Oreochromis niloticus: one gene and its partner. The protein of the gene in region 2 purifies or fractionates together with the protein of the main gene of each other region. This does not show direct contact. Links are inferred from orthologs where the notes say so. Each region holds a gene or a part of one and is shown on either strand. Other genes may lie near its edges. The genes, in order: srpra and srprb.

The links.
Region 1: the proteins of srprb (region 2) and srpra purify together in Homo sapiens (affinity purification with mass spectrometry; 6 studies listed by BioGRID and IntAct, counting the BioPlex papers as one, with this or other methods). This does not show direct contact. The link is inferred for Oreochromis niloticus from reciprocal best matches to the Homo sapiens genes SRPRB and SRPRA.

What each region holds. Positions count from the first base shown.
Region 1 is NC_031979.2:16,095,909-16,099,825, reverse strand, and holds the start of srpra (signal recognition particle receptor subunit alpha), read right to left. Parts: upstream 2,733-3,917; 5' UTR 2,582-2,732; intron 2,462-2,581; 5' UTR 2,447-2,461; coding exon 2,324-2,446; intron 2,017-2,323; coding exon 1,933-2,016; intron 1,814-1,932; coding exon 1,650-1,813; intron 693-1,649; coding exon 532-692; intron 443-531; coding exon 280-442; intron 41-279; coding exon 1-40. UniProt on the Homo sapiens protein: Component of the signal recognition particle (SRP) complex receptor (SR). Ensures, in conjunction with the SRP complex, the correct targeting of the nascent secretory proteins to the endoplasmic reticulum membrane system.
Region 2 is NC_031979.2:23,286,398-23,290,314, reverse strand, and holds the start of srprb (signal recognition particle receptor subunit beta), read right to left. Parts: upstream 2,830-3,917; 5' UTR 2,815-2,829; coding exon 2,761-2,814; intron 2,662-2,760; exon of another isoform or gene 2,647-2,661; coding exon of another isoform or gene 2,627-2,646; intron 2,575-2,626; coding exon 2,208-2,574; intron 1,879-2,207; coding exon 1,784-1,878; intron 1,676-1,783; coding exon 1,598-1,675; intron 1,515-1,597; coding exon 1,432-1,514; intron 1,096-1,431; coding exon 959-1,095; intron 753-958; coding exon 698-752; intron 1-697. UniProt on the Homo sapiens protein: Component of the signal recognition particle (SRP) complex receptor (SR). Ensures, in conjunction with the SRP complex, the correct targeting of the nascent secretory proteins to the endoplasmic reticulum membrane system.

The DNA of each region.
Region 1 (3,917 bases), about 7.2 Mb from region 2:
ATTTTGTTTCCCCTTTGGCTTCTGAGGCTTTGGCGACTTACTGTGAGAACGAGATCAGAATGAAAAATGAGTGTCTCAACATGCTTTACACACGAGGAAAGAAAATAATCAATTATTATCATCAAACCATGGCTCTAACACAACAGACAGTCACACACACACACACAGAAGTAACACTTAATATAAGTTTTTAGGAAAAGAAAAATCAATGTGTGTCTTTAAAACACACATTGTTCTTGGCCTGCTGTCTCTTTTAAATGGAAGTATCAGCTGCTTTACCTGGGTTTTTCAGAAGCTCCTGGCCTGTGCTTACGGAAGAATTCCTCTCTGTTCTTTTGCAAGATCTCCTCTGCAGTCAAGCTCTGGTTACCATTCTCCACCATCTTCTGGCCAGAGGGTGAGGCCTTGTCTTGATCCCCTTTGGCAGGCTGAGCTGCAGGAGCTGGAAAGGATTAGAGTCAACTGAGTCTGAAATCATGTTACCCTTATCCATTTAGATTTTGCTTTTTATAACCAGAAGAGACCACTTACCCTCCTTTTTGGCATTTTTATTCTTCTTGCCACCCTGTTCCTTGCCTTTGTCCCCACCCTTTGTCTCAATCATTGACTTCACAGTTTTTTGAGATTTCCCAGATTGCTCAAAGGTCCGCATGCCGGCAGGGCCTCGAGCTTTACTGCTCTCCTCCGCCACACTTTTGGTAAACAATTAATATATGTCAACATAGGGAAGAACAAAAAGAAACTCTGTCAGGGAGGCAGCCTTCACTTTTTCTAAGCTAATAAAACAAACATACAACAAAACCATTAAATCTCACAGCTTGTTGATCATATTTCTTATGTGGCATGTGAAACGAATATTTAAAAACATATTTTGACCATTATCAAGATAGACTTGATTTATTTCAATTGCTGCTAAAATAAAATTGAATTGTTGTGTTCAAATTTTATGTTCTCGAACATAAAGCAAAGGAACTCAAATATTTATAAGGGATGGAAAGACAGAGCGCCAGTTGGACTGACAGATGCAGCCTCAGCAGTAACGCGGGGAGTCACAGAAAACAAACAAAAAAACAGGGAAGTATGCAAACGTCCGAGGGGACCCTCATGTTAACCATCTGATGATGAAATCTGTATCAGCGGGACCCAAGTGAACCCTAGCAGACTTGTGGAAAGTATAATCCCTGCCTATTGGGTGAAAAAGAGTGACAAGCTGTGACATCTGCAGGGGTCTCAGGGGTCTCAGGAGTCTCAGCTGCTGCTGCTCCTGCATGTTAAAAGGAGCCAGTTGAGATGATTCAGGCATCTGGTTAGGATGCCTCCTGGGCACCTCCCTTTAGTGGTTTTCTAGGCATGGGAGGAGACTCTAAGGTAGACTCAGAACCCGCTGGAGAGATTTTATATCTTTTGCAATCGCCCAAGAAGAACTGAAAAATGTGGCTGGGAAGAATAACCTCTGGAATACCCTACTTAGCCTGCTGCCACCACGATCTGAATTTGGATAACCGGAAGACAATGAATGAATTGGCTTTAAATTACTAATAACATCATTTGCACATAAAACCAATACACATTTTCCATTCCTACCTACAGATATAGGCACCAAACAATACACCTATTGTCTTTATTTGGAAATTACTTTGTTTCTTTACCTGAGAAGCATGTTGAAGTCATTCTCAAACTCAAAGCTGTTGTTGAGCAGCTTTAAAGCTCCCTTCTGCTCCAGCTCATTCTTATAGCGATCCCTAAAGCGAAGCTGGACGTCATTTATGAACTTGTCCACATATGTCAGCGTCAGGATCTTTTGAAAACCCACCTAGAGATGCACAGGTGAAACAAGAAAAAGGCAATGATCATAAACACATATAAAACACAAACACATATCCTCAGTTGATTTTTTTTTTAATTCATTCAATGCTTATATGAACGACTTACCACAAAAATCAACTCAAACTCGTTGTCGAGCTTGTATTTAAGACTCAAGCCCCCATGACTAAACGAACTGTTCCCACTTCGCTCCTGTAAAAAAAATAAAAAACATCAATACCATGTAAACGGAGCTAAACACACATTTTGCTACTGCAGCTATTGTTGTGTGTGTTTTCAACCACCTAAATTACGTCACTGTAGCACAGGAAATATTGAACTTATGAATGACAGTGGTATCGGGGGGGTGCACAGCCCAGAAGAAGCTTATTTAGTTGATCGCTACGCCATAAGCTAACGCTAGCATTAGCTACCCGTTAGTGCTAGCATTAGCTGGACCCTTGTTACAGAGAGCTGGATAAAAAGACAACAACCACAAGCAGCTAGCCGTGAGGCTCACCTGAAGGATCACCGAGCGGATCAAAGCGTTGACCGGCCCCGTGAAGGATTCAGTGACACCGGCTCCCTGAAAACACCACAACACTATCCCCCCTTTGCTGAAGATGGTGAAGAAGTCTAGCATCTTCTCAGCACGTACCTGGATTAAACAAAAACGCAGACAGACATGTGGATAAAAGTGAAAGAGGGCCCTGGGATTAAAAAATACACAGTGTCGTTTTAACGGCTCCTGCCTGCTATTCAGAACACGAACTCTTACCGGATAATACTTAAACTGATAATAAATGCCCCACGAGTGAAACCCACTACCAGTGAAAAAACTGTTTTAGACACGTCAGAGGCACGATCAGGAAGTGATGTTGACTTCCGGCATTTTTTTTTTTTACTGAGTTTTGCGTTTGCGCAGTTGTCATTTGAATGAACCGGTAGTGTTTTCGTGTGTACTTCACCAGTAGAAATGCCAGTATTTTTACCTGTTACCTGTAAAAATAGCATGTGTTGGTCCTGTCTCTTTAGGTCAACTTCTGTTGTTTAAAGGCTATAAAAATAAATAAATAAATACATTAATGAATAAATAAATTAATACATAAATAAATTGATTATTTTTATTAAATAATAAAAATAATAAAACTGGCAGGTATATTTTTTCATTCCCAAAATATAATTTATTTAAAGCAATTAAGTGGGTTATATACTAAACTTAGAGGTTACAAACAACATAACATGTTGTGCTAGTATTGATCCCAAACCAACAGCACTGGTGTAATACCAGTATGTATTTTGGGGGGTGTTCGCTGGAGCCAGTATAAGCAAGACAGAGTACATGTGTGAATGAGAATTAGGCTAGTGTAACTGTGTAGCTGCAATGAGTAGAGGTACTGAAGGCAGATAATGGATTGCATTTATATAGCGCTTTTCTAGGCACCCAAAGCGCTTTACAATTCCACTATTCATTCACACACTGGTGGAGGCAAGCTACAGTTGTAGCCACAGCTGCCCTGGGGCAGACTAACAGAAGCGAGGCGGCCATATCGCACCATCGGCCCCTCTGGCCAACACCAGTAGGCAGTAGGACACAACGACCAGGACAGAGAGAGCAGGGGGATCGAACCGGCAACCTTCCGGTTACAGATGAGCTTCCCAATCCCCTGAGCCACGGTCGCCTCCCATCAATCAGAGATTGACGAGGTACAACATAAATGCTACGGCAAGGAGGAGTCAGGACGCCAGGTCAGGGGGGAGATATCATCACCCCCACCCGAGATTGGGTACATAGCCCCAAGTGCGATAGGAGAAGGATCGTTGAGTGCGAGAGGAACTGACCTGAAAGATAGGATCATGGCCAAGCTTGAAACCTGGATCCCCCGTAGCCGGTTACCAAGATTACGTGAAGTACCCTCAGAAGGTCTGCTAGATGATGTTAATGCAGCACTACGGACGATACCTACAACCACGATTACCGACACTAACAAGCTGATCTACACTACGGCAGCAGTGATCAGTGAGATACTTGGCTACAAGTTGAACAGCCACAAGGGGCAGTACCCTCCATGGAGAAGGAGGCTAGAGGGCAAGATCAAAGTAGCACGAAGGGA
Region 2 (3,917 bases):
TCTCAAAAAGAACCCATGCAAACATGAGGAGAACATGCGAACTCCACAGAGAAAGGGTCTGACCAGGTGATGGATTTGAATTCAGGACCTTCTAGCTGTGAAGCAACAGTGCTATTTATGGTGTGGAGTTTGCATGTTCTCCCGTGTCTGTGTGGGTCCTCTCTGGGTACTCCGCCTTCCTTCCACAGTCCAAAGACATGCAGTTAGTGGGGTTGGGTTAATCGATGATTCTAAATTGGCCATAGGCGCGAATGTGAGTGTGAATGGCTGTCTGTCCCTCTGTGTTAGGCCTGGCGACCTGTCCAGGGTGTATCCCGCCTCTTACCCTATGATACCTGGGGGTAGGCTGCAGTAACACATCACAGTCCACATTAAACACACACATCCTACAGTCTGCGGTAACAGGTTCATAATAAATACAGGATCAGTCACTGGCTTATCAGCGGAAATATGAATAAAATGGCAAAATTACTACACAAAAACTGAAAAACAAAAAATTCATATCTGCAACAATCCTTGAATCCTGCTATGTGGCATTCATTATTTTTTGCGGTTTTATTTATTTACACTGAAAACCACGTTTAAGAAAAAGTTCCACTGCTTTGCAATGGACAATAAAGCTTTGATTCAAAACCTGTTGCGATGCTCCTAAAAATATTTATTGTATAAGAAGACAACAAAACAGAGAGTTACTTACAGCTCCTTTTCCAGCTGCTGCTGAATCAGTTTAGCGGATTTTGCCATGGTGATGTCTACAAGATAAAAACACCAGTGAATAACCTGGATGTAGAGTAAGCAGTGAAGGCTCAGATATTAGGACTCAGAATGGGACTACACTCTCAGTGAACTGCAATTACCTTATGTGACAGAAAACTATGAATCTTTCTATTTAAACATGAGACAAACCAAATAAAAAGTTTCCACCAGCTCTCTAAAAACTCTCTGAGGGTTACTGTACCTTGTTTGTTGCACGCCACCACGAGAGCCGGGGCGTTTCTGGTGATCACGGCGTCCGTCAATAACACATACAGGAACTCGGCCACGTCTCTCACTTCCTTCTGGAAGATCGCGCTGTCCACTACAAACACAATCGCTCTGAAAAAGAGGACAGGGTGATGATAAGACAGATGTGATATGGAACAAGGGGACAATTACTTTTTTCACACGGGGCAGGCAGGTTTGGATAGCTTTTCTGCCTTAATCAATGAAATCATGACGTTAATACTGCACTTACTGCACTTTGTATTTACTCAGGTTATTTCTAACATTAAAGTGTGTTTGATGATCCAAAACATGCAAGGGTAAAAATGGCTTTACCATCCTTTCTATACAGTCTATGGTCAGAACATTTCATTCTGTGGAAGCAGCATTATTCCATTCACCTGTCAGCGGTTCACACATACATCACCTCACAGATCGTCCTGCTCTCACCTGGCCGCAGACTTGAACTTCTCCAGGTACTGAGGACGGAGGCTGTCGTGGCCTGGCAGGTCTATGAGAGTCCAGGTGCTGCCCTGCAGACGGGGTGGAGAAAAACAAAGGTGTAAATCCCACCCTCACACGAGTTACTTCTGTCCACTAACAGTCCTCAACTCACCCTGTCATTTTTGGCTTTGTATGGAGCACTGCTGTCAGTGATGGAGGTCTGTGTCCGCTTGAACTTTCCAGACAGCAGCTGCCAACACATGAAAAGCACACAAACAAATAAATAAACAAACAAACAAACATGAGCTGCAGGGCACCCCCCTGCGGGCTTCCGGGGTCTGTCTCAGCATTAACTCACCCGGCTGAAGAGCAGGGTTTTCCCCGAGTCACACAGCCCCACCAGCAGCACGGAGGTGCGCACAGTCTTACTGGTGAGGAAGTACTTCAGAAAGACTGCAAACACAAAGCAAAGGGTACACATTCAGTGACTGATTCTCAACGTATCAAAGGCACTTGCCGTCCGTTAGCCAAAAATGTGTGGTAGCTCTAAGTTTGAATGACTTCCCGTGAAACCGACAGCCGTTGTTAGCTTCTTAGCTTGCTACTTAAGCTAAAGTATTTAAAGCATATATTAATTTATTAAAACAGCGCATGTTATTGTATTTTCAACGTTAAAAAGCCCTGTTCACATATCAGGTTTATCACAGACCAGCTGTTTGCGGCTAACGGGGCTAAGCTACACGCTTGGCCTAGCCTGCTAAGCTGCTAAAATGACTTCTTACCACAGGTGATAACAACCACCGCCAAAGCGACGATAACTCCGATCAGGAAGACCGGGTCCTGCTCTTCTAGCTGCTGCCGCAGGGACTCAATGTAAGGTTCAAACGGAGATCCTGCCATCTCCACGTCTGCTTTCTCTCCCACGTTTCCACCGGTGTTGTGTGCTTCCATCACTCCGTCCAAGCTGCTCTGAAATGAGACACGTCTCCTTCCATCTGAAGCCTGTAGGGAGCCACAGCGACCAGCAGGGGGCGCCCGCCGCTCGGGACATTCTCCGTTATGGGTCTGGACCACAGACTGTATGTAAAAGACATTAAAGTGCTGGAACCAGCTAGAGGTAAATGACAGTTTCATGCCACGTTTATTTCTCTGGAAGTAAATGGAAGATAGTTTTCATGAGAAAAATAGAAAAAAATAGTACCTGGTAATGTAAAATGTCATAAGTTACTCAAGCCAAATGACGCAGTTATCTTAGGGGATAAGGAAGTATAAAAACAAACAGCTAATTTTAACACGCAGGAAGTGATTCAAAATCAAAAGTGAAATCAAGCATACACTGCAAATCCGGTGTAGTCCTCCATCTCCTTCTGACAGCTGCTTATTTCTCATCCATTCTGGTCATTCCCAATAGAAACGGTCACCACAGCGGATCATCTGCCTCCACCTCACCTAAAGCCTAGCATCCTCCTCTGTCACACCATCCTCCTCTGTCATGTTTGTAGTGATGTCCTCCTTTACTACACGCACGAATCTTTGCGGGCCTTTCTTCCAGCTAGCTGCTCCATCCTTTTTTCAGTAAATCCACTGTCCCTCCTGGGAGCTGACCTGAGCTTTTCCTCTGGTGTACTTATTTCTCATCCATTCTGGTCATTCCCAATAAAAACCTTTACACCTTCAGATCAGAATGTCTCACTGTCATCTTGTAAACCTCCCCTTCCACTCTTGCTGCTAATCTTCTGTCACATATCACTCCTGATACTCATCTCCACCCACTCCACACTCCTTGCACTGTCTTTTTCTCTTCTCTTGTGCCCGTCTGTTGATTTGGATGGTTGACCCCAGGGATTTAAACACCACCTTCACTACATCTGCTCCTTGCTCTTTCACATTTCCTCCCGCCTCCCTCTCATTCACACACACACACACACACACACACACACACACACACACACACACACATATTCCTTCTTGCTTCTACTCACTGTTTTGGAGGTCTTCTCTCCAGCACATACCTCCACCTCTCCAGAGTCTTATCTGCTCCCTGCTCTCACAACAGATCATACTGCCGTCTGCAAACATCACAGTCTACTAGTCTCATTACATATATGGAATTTTCTGTAATTTGCCTGCAAGTAAATGAGTACATCTGTGCATATTTTCTGTGCAGTCAAAAGACTCATGGCTCTGTTATTTGGTCATGATATGACAATTACTTCGTTTGTGTTCTGTTTATATTTTGAATTCTGTGGATGTATAATTTGCTTTCCGGTGTTTCTGTTTTCAAGAGTAGGGATTTAGCAAGGTCAAACATTTGTTCAGATCTAGATGCCATTGTTATGAATACAGCGTTAAAATATGCATCTACCACGGCAAACGTGTGCAAAATGTTCTATTTTAAATTTTTATTCCCTTTAAACGAGAAACTGACTTTATTCTCTTTGTAGAAGCTAAATGTGAAGACAACATGTAATCAGATAAAGGAAAACCCAGTT